Arabidopsis thaliana: one gene and its partners. The protein of the gene in region 3 interacts with the protein of the main gene of each other region in a pairwise test. Each region holds a gene or a part of one and is shown on either strand. Other genes may lie near its edges.

Region 1 (6,053 bases), 1.3 Mb from region 3:
TAGTCTTTGAAATCCTCTTAGACAACGAGTTTAGTGCATTTTACTTTAGTTGGAATCAAAGAGTTATAGCAAGCAATAATGGATCACACGTTGTGCAAGCAAGTTGTTCAGCCAGTTACTAGGAAAGTGAAGAAGCATGGTAAAGATGAATTTGATCGTATCAAACAAGCTGAGAAGAAAAAGAGACGTTTGGAGAAAGCTCTTGCTACTTCTGCAGCCATTCGGGCTGAGCTTGAAAAGAAGAAGCAGAAGAGATTGGAAGAACAACAAAGGTTAGATGAAGAAGGAGCTGCAATTGCAGAAGCTGTCGCTCTGCACGTCCTACTGGGCGAAGATTCTGATGATTCATCTCGAGTCAAGTTTGGCGAAGAAACGGGTTTCGGAATGGATCTGTTTAGAGATGAAAGAACCAACTATGTTCCTCGCCAAAGTTGTGCTAGCTATGCGGTTCAAGGGATTGGGTTTGTGTCAAATGGTTATGGACTAGGAGATAGTAACTGGTCAGTGTCATATAAGCCATTCATGAAGGATGTCTGGGATAACAACATGGTAATATCTGCAGATTTGATTGCTGCTCAGGCTGTTTCGTCACTACAGATATCTGAGGACGCTGATAGGAACGCTTATGTCTTCGAGACGATGTTCGGGGGATGACAAAAGCCATCGTGCCAAACTTGGCTGCAGAAACAAGTGTTTGCTATGAGTAGAGTTGCAGTTTTTTTCTTTATTCTAGAACCCCTTTTGGTGTGAAAATTCCTCCTCGTTGTTTATCTTTTGATGTTAGACTAGCTGAAAAGATGTTTTCTGAATTCTCTTTGTAACATTCACAAATACGTTCTAAGTTTTATACAGATTACAGAGTACCTCTTGAATCACGTGATTATCCAAATTCAGTCACAATTTCTAGTGTATTGAGACTAATAAACCTTTTGATGTTAAGATTTGACAGTAACAAGCGAGAATGATCTTAACAAAAGCACACGTGAGCTAAAAACTCAAGAAAAAATGACAGGTTCCAACGTTGATACAGAGTAATGGGTACAGACGAGGAGAATAGTGCGTGACTCTTAGACCGGTGGATATACAGCTAACCGAATGCATTGTGGTGGATCGGTACGGTTGCTACTGAAACAGTAGAACATCAGAGTCACGGCTTTGTTTCTTCTGATTGGTGACTGCATGATTTGCATCTTCATCTTTGTTCCCTATCTCTGTACTAGTGGAGGGTTTGGCTGTGTTAAGTAAGCCTTTGAGCCAACTACCTTGCAATCTCAAGTTCCCGCTGTCTGAATTGTTGAGAGTTCCCGGTCGTTGTGGAGAGCCATTGGAGCCATTGGTTACGTTCGAAGTAACATTCGAGAGGAAGCGATAAGCCACTTTACTAGCTGACACAAGTTCAGTTTTGGCTTGCTTCATCTGCAAAATCCCAATTTACAAGTTTTGAACACCCATAATGTTGCATTTACGTTGTAGAGAAGCTAAACAAAAGGGAACCCACCCGCATTGCTGTGTTTCCTGCCACTTCCAAGGCTGTGTCCCCAGCATTAGCAAAGCGATTAACCCAACCTGTTAAGAGACAGAACCCAAGCCGTCACATAAGCCTTGAAGACAAAACACACACACACACACACCAGATTCCCAAAAAATGGCTTTACCTGGGATCTTTGGCACACCAAGCCGGTCACAGAGTACATCGCAGAAGTGATTGCAATTTTTTGACAACAAATCATAAGTGTGTCCAGGCCATTCCCTGCTGAGTTCACGCAACATCTGATTCACCATGAAGATTGTGCAATCTGTTTTGCCAAGGACGATTTTCTCACGGTATGTGTACATTGGATTCTTTCCACTCGGGCAGCTGAATACACCAGTTCCTAGTTCACAATACCCGTAAGACCATTCATCGTTTCCATATACCTGCACAAAGGTCATAAAATATTCTATTCAATCACTCTTCCCTGCGAATCAATAGTCATCTACAAGACACAAAAAAATAACAAAACCATGAACAAGAATAATCAAATGATATTGCATAGATATACAGACCTAAGAACATAGAATGATTAGCACTAACTTGAAAACCTAAATTCTGGTAGTTTTGTTGGAATACACCAAATTGTCACGACTCAAATGGGAAAGTGGTATATGCAATTATATTTGCCCAGGTCAAAGATCACAGAAGTAAACGTAAGCCATCATTGGATTTAACAAGTCTCCAGAGAGCACTTGGTCAATATATCGCAATCATTATCATATGGAAAGTTACCAAAAGTACTAGGAAACACAAGATCCTGAGCAAAAGAGAGACTTCAGCTCCAGACCTTTAGGACCATAAACCATTAAACTAAAGCCTCACATATCAAAAGAAAAGTATCATGCCGTCAACTTCTTAATTTCCACATACATACACAGAAACAAAAACCAAATCTACATAAAGTAGACCAAAACCAAGCTTAGACATCATCGATAATTGTACATAAATGTAGATTCATAGAATATAGACGAAGAGTAGTACCTGAATAGCGCTGTGGAATATACCGCCAAGACCGATCCCGTCTTTGAAGAACCTATTGATCTGAACAATGGTGTTGTTAGTCTTCTCCGATCCACTGTTCGTCACATCGTATATATGCAGAACAACCTCCGTCATTGATTCTATATTTACCAAGCAACACGAACCCTAATTTCCTACCAAAAAGAGCTCGCAGATTCTCTCTATATAGAGCTTTTGGTGAAGAAGGAAACCTAAAGACTCGTACCAAATCCACTTCTCCGTTTAACGAATCCAACAACTACTAGATCTCCCCGAAAAGAAATCTAAAGGCACAAGATTAGACTTATCTTTCTTCTTCCGATTTCTCAATTTCAGACGTAGGAGATGAAGAAGAAACTGGTGCGGCGGTGGTGGTGGTGGTGGGGATCCACTGAAATGACAATTTTACCCTCGCTTTTCCTGCGGAATTGCTACTTTACGTGTCCCTTGTTAATTCCTTTTGTTTACAACTTAAGCACGCGTTTAGATTATGAATTTATGGTAACAAATTATATTAGTATGAACGTTGTTCGCAGTTGATTAAACGGGTCAACTACTGAACCTTTTTTCTTTCATTTAACTAACATTTCTTTAGCTAGACAAGTGTCCTTACCAAAACAAATCAAAAATACTAGTAAAGCATCTCTATAACAAAATAATGACTTAAGTAATCTGACACAACCAAGGAAGATGATTCATGACTATTAAAAAATGGGGTAAACAAAAAAAAAAGAGGGTAATCAATTGACCGATTCTTCCGATAATTTTCGAAAATGCAAAACGGACACAAGTCTGGTTTTCGTTAGCCATCTGATTCGTCTCGAATTAGTCCATCCATTCATACACCAAATTTATAATTTTGCTTCTATGTAAAAAAGTCAATCATAAAAACTTAATGACTTCTTTTTTATGGTACATACATATTGGGCCAATTGGGCCTAGGCCCAGTACAACAGATGGGATTCAGGAAATAAATTAGGACCAAAGAAATTCGACCAAGTTTTTTGTTATATCAAAAGTGTATTCAAAGTCTCATTTTGGTGGATGAATCTTGAATGGGATGCTCAAAGCACAAACAAAGCTTAGTCAAGTTGATAAACTTTGAATGCAAATTAAGCTCTTATATTTTATTGTAATGTAAGGTAACATGACACTTGTACATATTCGTGAAAGGCTCAAATTTTCTTTCTTACATGATAAATATTGCAAAGTTGGAACCGGAAGTCGACAAAAAAAAAAGTTGGAACCGGAAACATCTCAAAACAGTTATCGGGGGATCTAACGGCTGCTAATAGCCCTCATTAGGACCCACAAAATACTGGGAGTAGACGAAGTCGCACCGGCCAAGTCTCCAAAGTCCCAATTGAAAACTTACACTTGAAAAAAAAGTCAGACATCATTCGACACGTGTCCCCATTTCATTAGAAGTCGCGCTGCGTTTCTTTCTCTGTACTAGTTATAATTCCTTCTATTATCCTCTCTCTCTCGTCTTCTTCGTCTGCTCTTCTTTTTTATCTCTCGAAATTCCTCTCTCTTTCTCTCTGCATCAAAACAGCAACTTTACTTCTGCGTTTTTGTTTATCTCTCTGTATTATCCGATTAATTTAAAGGAGTTCTTTGAAGGCAGCTGCTTCTATGCCATATTGCCGAGGTTTGGATCTAAATTTCATCATCATCTTTGTTTCTCCGTTTATCTTCAATTTCCCTTTATCTTTTCAATATAATTGACTTATTTCGTTAAAAGTCTTTTTGATTAGCTTCCTCGGATCTTATGCTTATTCATGGATCTTAGACCTACATAATGGATTAAATCCGATTGTTTCTCTTATTGTTCTTGTTGAATTGAGGTTAATTTTGATCTGAAAATTAGTTTCTGCGGCAGATCTGGTGTCTGTATTTGTGTAATTTGTATCCATTAGTCTTAATTGAGTTATTAGCTGAGGATTAAGAGAGATCCTGAAATTTGCCGTGGAATTAACTCTTTCTGTGGATGGATGGATACCCTTTGTATTCTTCAACTTTGCTCCTACTCTGGGAAATTAGGGTTTGAGTAATCATTAGGTTTTACTCTTTGGCTGTTGTTGACTATCTTCAATCTAATTGGTGGCTGATTTTGTTTGACTTCTTTAGGACTTTTGGTGTCTTTCGAGGTCATTAGAACAATTGTGTCTGCTTGGTTGGTGGTCTATCTACAACTGTTAGCTTTTACAAGTTTGAATGCTATTGTTTTGGCTTTCAGATTTTGATGTTATGGATTTCTGTGTTACTACTCCTCTGCAACTTGAAACTAATCAAGTAATTGTCAATGCAGAAAATGGGCGAGTCTAAGGGGTGCGGGAATGTTGGACGAATGATTTCGAAGAATAAGTCTGCGAATTCTTATAACCTCTCTCTTCAGTTGTCTCCTGTTGTTTCTTTCTGGGATTGTATTGTCCGCACCATGAGGTATTCCTATATACCAGAGTGGGTGTAGTTCTTGAGTTCCTCTACAACATCATCGAGTTTAGTGCAGTTTTTTAGTTAGAAATTTATAGTCAAGCAATAATGGATCACACGGTGTGCAAGCAAGTTCAGCCAGTCGTTAGGAAAGCGAAGAAGAAGCATGGTAAAGATGAATTTGATCGTATCAAACAAGCTGAGAAGAAAAAGAGACGTTTGGAGAAAGCTCTTGCTACTTCTGCAGCCATCCGGGCTGAGCTTGAAAAGAAGAAGCAGAAGAGATTGGAAGAACAACAAAGGTTAGATGAAGAAGGAGCTGCAATTGCAGAAGCTGTTGCTCTGCACGTCCTACTGGGCGAAGATTCTGATGATTCATCTCGAGTCAAGTTTGGTGAAGAAAAGGGTTTCACAATGGATCTGTTTAGAGATGAAAGAACTAACTACGTTCCTCGCCAAAGCTGTGCTAGCTATGCGGTTCAAGGGATTGGGTTTGTGTCAAATGGCTATGGACTAGGAGATAGTAACTGGTCGCCATTCACGAGGAGGGGTGCTTGGGATAACAACATGGGAATATCAGCTGATTTGATTGCTGCTCAGGCTGTCTCGGCGCTACAGATATCTGAAAATGCTGATGGGAACGCCTTTGTGTTCAATGGGATGTTCCGGGGATGACAGATGCCACGACTCGTCCTCATTCGGTTTTTAAAATAAACATTTGCCTTCTGCTTGCTTTGGTGTCAATGCTCTGTTTTTTTCTCTTGACGTTAGACCTTATACTCTGTTTTCGTTCGCTGTAATATTAAAGACGCATTTTGAGTTGTATCTATTATACATGTTGAAGTCTCTTCATACTGCATTGTTGCTTATCTTATATCACATTCTTTTAACAAACCCTCTAATAGGTGTGCAATGCATATGCTAAGACTTGCTTGGTCTTTGCCAGTAACGTGTTGAAAATATCTTCTTAACAAAATCACACGTTCTGCTGTGAAAAGGGGAAAAAAAAAGAGAGGTGTGTTCGAATCGTGATACAAAGTAATGGATACAAACGAATAAATTTTGGATAGGTGGATATACAGTA
Region 2 (5,862 bases), 5.0 Mb from region 3:
AAATCACTAATTCAGACTTTTTAAAAGTTGCGAACTTTTTTAATCATTCCATGTTACGGATTATTTTTTATGTGTCTGGAAAAATTGGCTGTCAAGGTGATTTCACGTGATAACTAATTTGTTTTTTTGAGGTCATTTGCCATCTTGTGAAAGCCTTTGGAGCCTACTTAAAGATTTTATTTTATTTTTTCTAGTAAAGACGATTGAAGTAACTGCTGTCTATTAGTTAAGATCTGAATCTCCAATGAGGTTATTTATAATTACTTACTCACATTGTGCAACAAAACCAAGCACAATTTGTGGTCCACAAACCTTTATCTGGAGGTTTCTGGTTCAACTTCTCCGGTTTACACTTAAATCTTCGTTTCGTGAGCAAACCCAACGGGGAGCTTCCCGTTGGGCCATGTTTCAGTGGGCTCGGTGTAAAGCCGACATGAGTAACTGAAGCCCAGTAGCATTGTCGCAAATAACAGATTGATTTGTCCGTTGCAAACGGTTTAAAAGCAGAGTACGATACTTTGTTACTTTTAAAAATATCAAATCTAACAATTATGTAACAAAATCAACTAGTGAATAACATAAAAACATAAGATATATTTGGCTTTAAAATCCCCTAAAAATCATCGTTATGGAATAACATCTACTTTTCGACAAAAACAAAGTAACAAAAAAATCGAAGAGTAGAGCTCAAATTGAGTGTAATAAAGAATGAACTCAACAAAATTATTCATTCCTTTATTTTGCAAAAGTGTTGTTTTGACATTTTCTATACACATATTTAAAAGAACTATACTATACAATATTCAACAAGTTCTGCTATAACTAACACAATAAATATAGTTGTGAATTTAATTTTTAATAAACAATCTTTCGTTTTCCAAACTCGAAGGCAACTTGTAATCTTTCCCATTATAGAAAACGAAAGAAACCAAAAAAAAAAAAACATAACCAAAGAAAAATGCATCACACAAATCAAAACGTATTTATTAGCAACAACCAAATATCTTAATATTTTTTATAAGTTACCAATAAATACCAGCTTTCCCATAATACTTAAAAACCCTAACCTTAAAAACTCATTTATTAGAGCATTTTTGATTTTGTGCTATTACCTACTACCCTTGGCTTACTACTAACAACATCACACACAACTCAAACTCACAGAAGCTCATCTATAAACGATTTCCCTTTAAATTTCTCCATTTTGAATCCCATTTTCTCCATCCTCAACCGTTCTGCTTCGATCTCAACCATCTGAGCCCGCGTCTCCTCAATCCGCCGCTTCACTTCCACCACTTCCTTCTCCATCCTAACCAAATCCGTTTCTTGAGCCTCAAGCTCTTCTCTCTTAGCCTTCACTAAACCATCATGCCTCTCTTTCTCATTTTCTACATCTTCTTGAGACTGCGCAAACTCTTCAAGAACAGAACGTAGCCAAGCTACTTCAATGTTCACAGACTCCAAGTCTTTGAGAACCGCAAGCATCTCTTTGACCTTGACTTTGCTCAACTGCCCTACCGGGGTTGACCTAAGTTCCTGCATCAGTGAGCATAAACACTCGAGGTAACGTGATCGCATTGAATCCGATTCCAGCTTACAGTTTTGAGCAATGTCTCCGTGCTTTTCGATGACAGCACTTAGTATAGTGGATGAACCCGATCTGACTCGGTATTTCCCGACAGAGACAAAAGTGTCAGACATTACTGATTCGAGATCGAGCTCTACACCAATCTCATTGTTGTTTTCGTCATCATCATCAGAAAAATCATCATTGCTCTCTTTTCCAGGCGATCTTGGAAGGCTTAGGAAACTAAAGAGTCTAGTTTCGCCGCCTTCTCCAATCTTCCCATTGTGTTCTTGTATTCCCGGTTTAGGTGATACCACTTTGCTTTGATCAACCTTCATAAGATACAAGAATCTTGATGTTTACAAATATGGTAAAGATATGGTGGTCGAAATCATGGAAGAGAGTAAAGGATGAGATACCAAATTGTTTGATGAAAGGGGAATGGTTTGAGAAGGTTTCTTCTCTGGTTTATGGTTGAAGAAATCATCCGGATCACCGGATGATGAAGAAGTGAAAGAATTTTTCGTTTCAGAAACAATCTTCTTCTTCACGGAAGCAGGTGGAGCTACAGAATGATGAACCTTTGGGGAATTACCATTTGCAAAACCGCCTCTGCCGTTTTGATAAGGCCTTGCGGATAGCGGTGTAGGCGGTTGTGAATTCGACTCCTTCTTTTTCCTACCGAAACTCCCTGAGAAGCTAAGAAGCCTTGAACCTGTAACATAACAGAACAAGAATCAGAATCCATAAAGGAAAAGTTTTTAAAATGGCAAAATCAAAAGCAGAAAAAAGTACTTTGCTTCTTAGTGTTCTTCTTGACATGGCCTTGAGCAATTTTCTCTAAACAAGCTGAAGCACATTCATGGAAAGGATTATCCGCATATACGCAATCTGGATGAGCTTTTCTATTGAAATCCATAGCTTTTTGATGAATGGAACAACTGCAACAAAATCAAGATAACTAATCAGCTCAAAGAAGACAAACTCAAAGAACAACACAAGAACTTCAAATTTGTGGTGTCAAAGGACTGAACATATCACATTAAGGGTAAGTAAGTGGTCAAACCTTTACACCTTAATTTCAACAAATAGTTCAAAAAGATTAGACACTAAAAACTTATAATATACAACAACCTCCCAACGAAATTGGATTCCATTCATATTTCACCAACCCTTTATATGATGAAAGAAAAAAAGTAAAGAGGGAGATTGTGAGAAGCAGAGAGAGATTCACCAAAACATATCCATAAAGAAATTTCTTACGAGTAATAGTGAAATTGATCCCCACAAAACCAATCAAATCATAAAATGTATAGGTATAGAGAGATACAAAAAGACGACTTTTGGTTTGTTTCTTCTCCTTAATACTTTCATGGACCGACCATGCAATTTCCAAGTACAATTTTCCAGTGAGATACTAAATTTCAACGGTGGAAGCACTCAGTTATTGACTTAGACCAGAGTTAAAAGGTAGATTATTTTGACCGGCTTGTTTTCTTGAACAGACAAAAACTTCCAAGGCCCACCCTTGTGGATAATATTTTTTTAATAGGTTGAAATTTCGTTTTCCATGATTGTCGTTTGTCACAAAATTTCCTTAGAACAGAGCAAAGAAACAGAGCATATGACAATAAAACAGTATCAATCAGTTTCATCATCGATCATTGAATTAATTCTTAAAACAAAAGCAAACCCACGATTCTGATCGAGATCAAGAATCTATTTGTGGATCAAAGAACCAAACTTTTAATTCACACAAAAATGCAATCAATCAACAAACAGAGAAATAAAGAGAAAGAGAGAGAGAGATATACCAGGAGAATCGGAAGAGGGAGAGAAATGTGATGAGCGGAGAAAAATGAATAAAATGTTGATTTTTATTTTTGTTTATAAGGTATAACAGTTGTGTATATTATAAGGTTCATGTGACATTGTCTTTGGTATAATAATAATATGATGATGATGATGAATTGACCAAAGCCAATATTACCAATTGAAGATAGAGAGAAGCATTTAATTGAAAAGAGGTTGGAAACGGCAATCAATCACACACCTCACTTATCTTCCAGAAGTGGACAACAACGTGGGACGGTTATACAAATACGAGTGAGATTTTTAGAGTCGACGAGAATCGAAAGTAGAAATCTGTAACCACTTAAAGGAAAAGAAATTTAAGAGACAAAAATAAAGAAAGAAAGTTGTCAGTTAAAACGCGTTATTGCGTGTCATTGTTTGCATCACACGTGAGGTTCTTAAGAATCTCAAGTTCTTAACCATATTGCTATATCTCTTGTCTAATTTTATGCATAGAAGTTATCTTTTTTTTTGCTGTCCATTATTACTTAACCAATAAAACTTAGACATCTTTCAATTAATAAATATAGATAATATAAAGTTATGTTTACATTGGATCTCTTAGTATTTTTTCTAATTGTTGTTGCAGATAAGTATAAATCAAATCAAATATATAAATATCATTACTTGCGAATAAGTGTTGATACCAAATTTTCTGATAATATTATGGAGATTGCTTAGGTAAAACATATTTTTATGATTCAATCCGAAGGAAGGAAATTTTCTACCCGATTTGTCAAAGTGCATGCATGTTGATCCGATAGGAAACAACATTTATTATAGAATCTGATAAAAGCATCTTTTTGTTATTAATTGTGTCATCTTTCGTAAGTCGTAATTTTAGTATTAGTACAATATAGTTTCGAAATGCGAGTAGCTTATCCAGAAGCGATAAATGACCATTTCCCCAAAAATACTTTCATCCTTTTTTGTTGGGGGTCAGACTTCATATCATGAAGAAGAAGAAGAAGAAATACATAGAGTCAACTCTAGAGCGTTGGCTTTTAAAAAGACATGAAAAGATTTTGTTAATACTATAATGCACATTCTTTAAATAAATCATTTAGCAAACTACTCTAATACGACCATTCTTTTTCATTCATGCAACATGTCTTTTTCTTTCCCTGTTGTTCTCTAATTTTATTTTACTCTTCATTCATTTGTCTTCGTTGGTGTTTCTTTTTTCTCTTTTTTTTTTCCAGAAAATTAGATATTTATGACCAAATCCATATTTTTCTAATAAAAAATAGAAATATTGTCAGTATACCTGCACAATCGTGTGAACGAGTCACCTGAAACATGATAAATTCTTCTTTCCCCTAAAGCTTACTCGTGTCTCCATCAAGAAATCTTCCAAGAAAGAGACTAGTTTAGTGCATTGTTAGAGAAGTCTCAAATCCTATGACTATGAATCATCAAGCAAGTTACATTGTGTAAGTGTATCTTTCTGTCTTTCATTTTTTTTTTGTGTATACATGTACATTTGAAGGTATACCAAAATCAAGGGAGGGATCTTAAAAAAAGTTTGAAAGCAGCATAGAAAAGTTCTTTATACGATAAATCCATAGATTTTCTTATACGAATTTGGTGAGTTCGGTTTAAAAAACTGAACACCGAAATTCCAGTAACACAACATAATGTATATATAACGATGTGTTGTTAATTGTTATCGTTTTTAATATTACTTTAGTTTTCAAACCGGTTTTAACAGGGTTCAATACTGAAATCTGTTTTAAAAACGGGCGATTTGGTATTTTATTTTAATTCAGGGGACTTGTTCATTAATTTTAACTAAGGAGAAAATATTTCCTTTTTACTATTGTCTTATATAAGACCTAATTTGAGACCTAAAACCTGAGCTTAGTAAACACGGTATCGTTGCTATGGACACCGCCAAAGTAGAACCACCTCAGGAAACGAAGAAGACGATTCTCACAGCTCAAACTCCATTATCTATGTCGATTTCATCACTTCCAGATGAAATCGTTTTAAGTTTCTTAGCCCTGATCTCTAAATCGTACTACCGTTCCCTCTCTTTAGTCTCCAAAAGCTTTTACTCTCTTCTCTCTTCTACAGAGATCTACGCGGCCCGATCCCACATCGGAGCGACAGAGCCTTGCCCGTACGTGTGCCTGTGGTTACCCAAAAAACATCGCTGGTTCACCCTAGCCGAGATTGAGGGTAAACTAAGTTTAGAACCGGTAAGGCTCTCTTCCTCTTATCCTCGTACTCGAGTAAACTCAACCACTGTAGCTGCTGGTACCGAAATCTACAAAATCGGCGGAACTGTCAAGGGCAAGCGATCCAGAGCTGTTTTTGTACTTGATTGTTGGACTCACAGGTGGCGTCGTGCTCCTAACATGAGAGTGTCAAGGGTAGGCGCCAAGTCTTGTTTTTTAGACGGAAATATATATGTAATAGGAGGATGCAGAAAGAGTGAG
Region 3 (5,364 bases):
GAAAGAAATGGGAACCTTCTATACATTCATTCTTCCCAAATATGTTGGAACAATTGTTTAAGTTAATAAGAGAAACAGCCATTGGTAAGCAATTTTACTTCGTAAAAATAAATCACATGGTAGACTTGAAGCATCCCTAAGTCAGATTGACGTCTCCGAAGATATGAAACAGAGCACTGGAGTGGGACACGTGGAAGATTGACGCTTTAGTGGCGGGTTTCTATTTTTCAAAAGCGCCAAGAAGATAAAAAGGAACAGAGAACAGACCGAACCAGGAAAACTTTGCTATCTAAACCTTTTATTTTTAGATATTTTTAATTTTGACCCTGATTCTTATAGAAGACATTTTCATCACCCTTTATTGATCTTGGAGTTAGTATGTCACATGGAACTAAAAGTAATAATTAATGTTTTTTTTAATATAAAGAACTCAATGTAAAATTATACATATGAACTTTGAATAAAATATATTGTTGTGAATTTATATTATTTAGAATTCTTTTTTGGTGAATTCCCCAGAAAAAATCTTCGGATTTTGTTAATAAGAATCTAAAAATAAATTAATTACGGACTTGTCGCGGAAAAGTAGTTCCTTCAACATCATCCCTCATAATCGTCTCAACGCAAAGCGAAATAGAAGAAAAAGCATGAAAACCTAACTATACAGTTAGGTTCTCAATACACGTGAGAAATTCTATGTGTGACATGCCGGTACGTCTTGTTACATAATCTTATTATATGTACTGTAGTTATGGACATATAGCGAGCATATTTCACGTTAAAACTTAAAAAGTATTGTAGACGAGATGGATAATGTTTGATTTGTGTCTAGAAAATATAATTATAGGCGAGGTGGATCACATCGTGGAGACTCTTAATTAGATATTAATAATGTAGAAGTAGTGAAGAGAAAATGTGTTTGGTTGAGACGTATAAATTGAAAGCCTTTTGCTGATAAAATCACAAAGAGAGATCAGCAATGAGGAGCTTGAGGTTGAGAACAGTTGTTGTTGCTACAATAGTCGTTTGTCTATCGGTCCTCCTATCTCCCACCGGTACGTAAAATCAAGATCTCTAACTACATAGATACACAAGTTTTTGTTATAAATGTATGTGGCTGTTCGTGTCGACAGAAGTGGATGGAAGCTGTGACTTCCCATTAGGTGCTTGTACTCCTTTCCGTGATTGCAAGGAGAGTTGCATCAAGTTCAAAACGAGGGCTGGACAGACTTTTTTTGATGGCAAGTGCCGTCCAAGGGATAGGCCGAGCGTGTGGACGGCTTGTTTCTGCTGCTATTATGATAGTATCGGTGCTCAATAAGAAAACATGTGATTCCGAAACCATATAATCGACATCGCTTTGTTCTACTCTGCTTTGCTTTTGTTTGTTGTACTCTGCTTAATCCAATAACAGAGATAACGTTTCGAATAAAGGTTGGATGTTTTGTGACAATTCAGGAACAGAGAGATGATAAGTCAAGCTACACCCACATAGTTCCATGCAGAGAAAATTATAATGTCAAAATTGAAAATTGAAAATTTGTCTGTCAAAGTTGTAATTTATAAACCTCCCAAAGAAGAGAGAAAACATTACATCACATCGGTGCATAAAACAGCAAAAACTACAGGGCCGAAGCAAAATCATTCTTACACGTTTCTGTGAACAGAGTTTATTCTAAAATACTCCTTAAGTCTTGAACATTACAACATACCATAGGTTGTATGTATCATCCTCTTCTACTTCTCCCCTGTTTTCACCATCATATACACATTATGGTATACACACTAGTAAAAGGAATCAAGCCTGTGTGGTTTCTCCTGCTGCTGCAGCACCATTTGTCTTCACACGCTTCTCCTTGTAGTCTTTCACAGCTGCCTTGATAGCGTCCTCCGCCAACATACTGCAGTGGAGCTTGACTGGTGGGAGAGAAAGATGCTTTGCGATTTCGCTGGCAAAATAAATCACAGAAAGAGAAGCACACATTCAGAGTAAGTCTTCAGATATTGAGAAACTCCATGACAGAAATCACAATGTTTACTTTGTCTAAGAAAAAGAAGTCAAGAGGTCTGCATCATTATAGGCTGGAAAACCTTAAATACCATACAAACCAAACCAGTAACCAATCTCAGACCAATTGACCAAAATCCAGTAACTAAGTTCATCTAAACAAAATAATCACATTACTTCGTCTCAGGTATGTCAACATTCAATGAGTGCAGCAATTAGATAACACGAGTGTTCATATTTATGTTAAAAATCTGCAAAACATGAATAGGAACACAGGGCATACTAACCAGCAACCAATATTGTACCAACAGACAAAGTCCAGTGACCAAGTTCCTCAAAACAAAATAACAGTCATGAAACACAGTAACTGGTATATCAACATTTAATGAGTTTAACCAATTAGACAACACTGATTGGCATAACACAACAACTCACAACAGATTATGTTAATATCTGCATAAAATGAATAGAAACAGACGGTACTTACGTGTTTTTGATGGTCAGAACATCCTCCATAGCTTTGCCTTTCACCCATTCAGTGGCTGAAAAAAACGTAAAAATGAATCATACATTAGATAACAGCAACAAATCCCCAGAGAGAAGATAGCTCCCACATAGAAGCTAAGCCAGAAACTGACGACATCGCATCAAAAAGATGAAATCTTTCTCAATAACATTAGGAGACTAGGAGTATTACAAATTCAGCATTGAATCACCAATAAAAACGTCTCAACTGACCAAATCATGCACTAATTTGTCATTAACGACACCAATCCCAAATTTGAACACCGAATCTCTACACGAACCCATCAATTTAAAACCTAATTTCTCCATTTGAGAAAGACTAATCAAAATCCCTAATTGAAATCATTTAATTTCTCTAATTCAATCCTCAATCGAACAAAACACGAAATTAGAATATAAACATACCAACAGATGAAGAAGCGATGGCTGAACCACAACCAAAAGTCTTAAAGCGAGCATCAACGATTTGACCAGTCTTCTCATCGACCTTGATTTGAAGCTTCATCACATCACCACAAGCGGGAGCTCCTACGAGTCCCGTACCAACGTTGGGATCATTCTTATCGAAAGACCCAACGTTGCGGGGATTATCGTAGTGGTCGATGACGTTCTCATGGTAGGTTCGGAGGATACCAACAGACCACGGTGTTGATTGACGTGACGTAAGCCCTAGGGCCTTCTTCGCAGCTTGCTTGAGCATCATCGTGTTTTTTTTAGGGTTTCGGAAGTAACTTTTGCTCCGCTGATTTTGGTAATGAGAAATGAGATCGGACTTTTCCTTTAAGGGTTGTGAGAAGAAGTCGGTTTGGTTTCAGACAGAGAGATAAGCGAGGGGACACGTGGACGGTTTAGATGGTTCTGAGATATTTGCTATTTCTTTTTTCTTTTCTTTTTTTCCTTTGATTTTTTCTTTTAGTATTAGCTAACTTGAGACGCTAACCTAAACTTTAGATTGAGATTTTGATAAGTTGACTTTTTCTTTTCAATTATATTTTTGATATCCTTCAAATGTTATAGTTTATAAGACCTATCGCTCATAAATCGTACTTTTCAAGTTTACAATTGAATCGGAACATACTTCTTTTACGCAAACAATAGTCATGATGATTTAGTATGTGTATAGAAAGTTCTCAAATTTCAAGTGATGAAACAGTCTATTTAAAATTAACCTTAATTCATTAACGTATAGTTAATCATAACAATTAAACCTATAAGTTATAGGCTATAACAACATTATAGGCGAATGTCTTCGTCTAGATAAGTTGTGAGGAGCCATCTACGACTGTGCATTGTCCTATGGTAAACATATATTTGGTTAATGGTTGATCTTGATCATTTGAAAAGTCGTTTTGCAACATTAACAAATATATTTGTCTGTTATTTTTAGACGGCACCACCGGAACGGATTGGAAGCAAGATCAAGTAATAGATCTGAGATTTGGAAAGCTTCTCGTGAAGCGAGTTAGATAGCAAATTAAGTTGAGGATTGAGAAATATGGATTTTAAAATATATTAATATGTATTTTTTAAAGTAGTACATATAGATTCGTAAATATAAAGTTATTTTAAGACACGAGTTCATTATGCATCTATACCGTGAAACATGTGGTACCGAGAAACAAACAAAAATTTAAGTTTCATTATGCATGCAATTGGTTTCAGATATAATATTTTTTTTTGGACAAAGGTTTCAGATATACTAATAAAAAGCAAAAACAAACAAACAAATATGATTGAAGGAAAAATGAATCAATGATGATGATGAGCGCTTGGTCTCCGTTGATTTAGCATCTACCACTTTCTTTGGCATTGTTGATTAGTATCTAAAAGTTGACTAATTTAATGAAGAAATCAAACGAAAGATTCTAAATATCTATCTTTATCTACACAATACAATAGTATTGATCATCTACAATAAGAGTCGGGGGTGTATTCAGTTAACTATTTAAAATGATTTGTCTTAAAATCATATATCTTACGTCATTTTAATCCCAACGACTTGTCCAGTGCTAGCTATAAATTAAAAACTCGCCTTTTGCCTAAATGAATCAATCACAAAGAGAGAGAGGGAAACAAAATAGAAAGAAAGAAGCTAAGAACTAATAAGCAATTAATGGGGAGCTTAAGGTTGAGCACAGTCGCTATTGCAGTAGTCGTTTGTCTCTCCATTCTCCTCATATCTCCTACAGGTACGTAAAAAAAACCAAAGTCTTTGATCCCAAGATCTAAAATAAAACATGTTTATAAAATGTAGTATCTTCCTATTGATTGGACAGAAGTAGATGGGAGGCAAGTGTGTGACTACGATAAAGGTGAATGTAATAGTTATGAGAAGAGCTCTACTTGTATTGAACCATGCAAGCAATTGGACAGCAAGTTTATTGGAGGCCGATGCATACCTGTTGGTGGTATTACTGGTATGGGGTTATGTGTTTGCTGCCGTGATGTACAGCGTGGTGCTGAAAAGGAAAGCATGTGATTTGCAAATGATACAAAACGACGTCACTTTGTGTCTGTGTTTTGCGATTTGCATGTTAATGATTTCAGCTCAAAATCTATATTTGAGTGTTTGCCTTCTACAGATCTGTTTGTTTTGAATTGTCAAGTCTTAAATAAAGTTGGATTGTTTTCCGATTATGACCTGACCTATTCATCATATTTTTTTATTTTTTTTATTTTTGTCTAATTGAAATCTAAATCGGAGGGGAAAAAATCAACAAAAAGAATTTTATACGAGTACATTAATTCTTGCAAATGTTAAATTATCCGTCTTATGATTTATACAAATAAGAATTGAATTAAGGGAGAAACTGATAAATACTTGTTCCTAA

The links. The genes of interacting proteins can lie anywhere in the genome.
Region 1: the proteins of ISU1 (region 3) and AT4G25680 interact in a two-hybrid assay, tested with the Arabidopsis thaliana proteins (one large-scale study listed by BioGRID).
Region 2: the proteins of ISU1 (region 3) and AT4G35110 interact in a two-hybrid assay, tested with the Arabidopsis thaliana proteins (one large-scale study listed by BioGRID).

Annotation. Positions count from the first base shown.
Region 1 is NC_003075.7:13,085,022-13,091,074, reverse strand, and holds AT4G25680 (PPPDE putative thiol peptidase family protein), read right to left. Parts: upstream 3,103-6,053; 5' UTR 2,651-3,102; coding exon 2,516-2,650; intron 1,918-2,515; coding exon 1,656-1,917; intron 1,567-1,655; coding exon 1,499-1,566; intron 1,417-1,498; coding exon 1,123-1,416; 3' UTR 914-1,122; downstream 1-913. Other genes in the region: AT4G25690 (stress response NST1-like protein), read left to right, coding at 79-654; AT4G25670 (stress response NST1-like protein), read left to right, coding at 5,078-5,644.
Region 2 is NC_003075.7:16,711,502-16,717,363, forward strand, and holds AT4G35110 (phospholipase-like protein (PEARLI 4) family protein), read right to left. Parts: upstream 3,291-5,862; 5' UTR 2,816-3,290; coding exon of another isoform or gene 2,802-2,815; 5' UTR 2,725-2,801; coding exon 2,702-2,724; exon of another isoform or gene 2,509-2,701; coding exon 2,363-2,508; intron 2,283-2,362; coding exon 1,987-2,282; intron 1,900-1,986; coding exon 1,159-1,899; 3' UTR 914-1,158; downstream 1-913. Other genes in the region: AT4G35120 (Galactose oxidase/kelch repeat superfamily protein), read left to right, coding at 5,305-5,862.
Region 3 is NC_003075.7:11,757,646-11,763,009, forward strand, and holds ISU1 (SufE/NifU family protein), read right to left. Parts: upstream 3,413-5,364; 5' UTR 3,237-3,412; coding exon 2,939-3,236; intron 2,551-2,938; coding exon 2,496-2,550; intron 1,950-2,495; coding exon 1,799-1,949; 3' UTR 1,458-1,798; downstream 1-1,457. Other genes in the region: AT4G22217 (defensin-like protein), read left to right, coding at 980-1,055, 1,134-1,321; AT4G22230 (defensin-like protein), read left to right, coding at 4,647-4,722, 4,810-5,012. UniProt on the Arabidopsis thaliana protein: Scaffold protein for the de novo synthesis of iron-sulfur (Fe-S) clusters within mitochondria, which is required for maturation of both mitochondrial and cytoplasmic [2Fe-2S] and [4Fe-4S] proteins.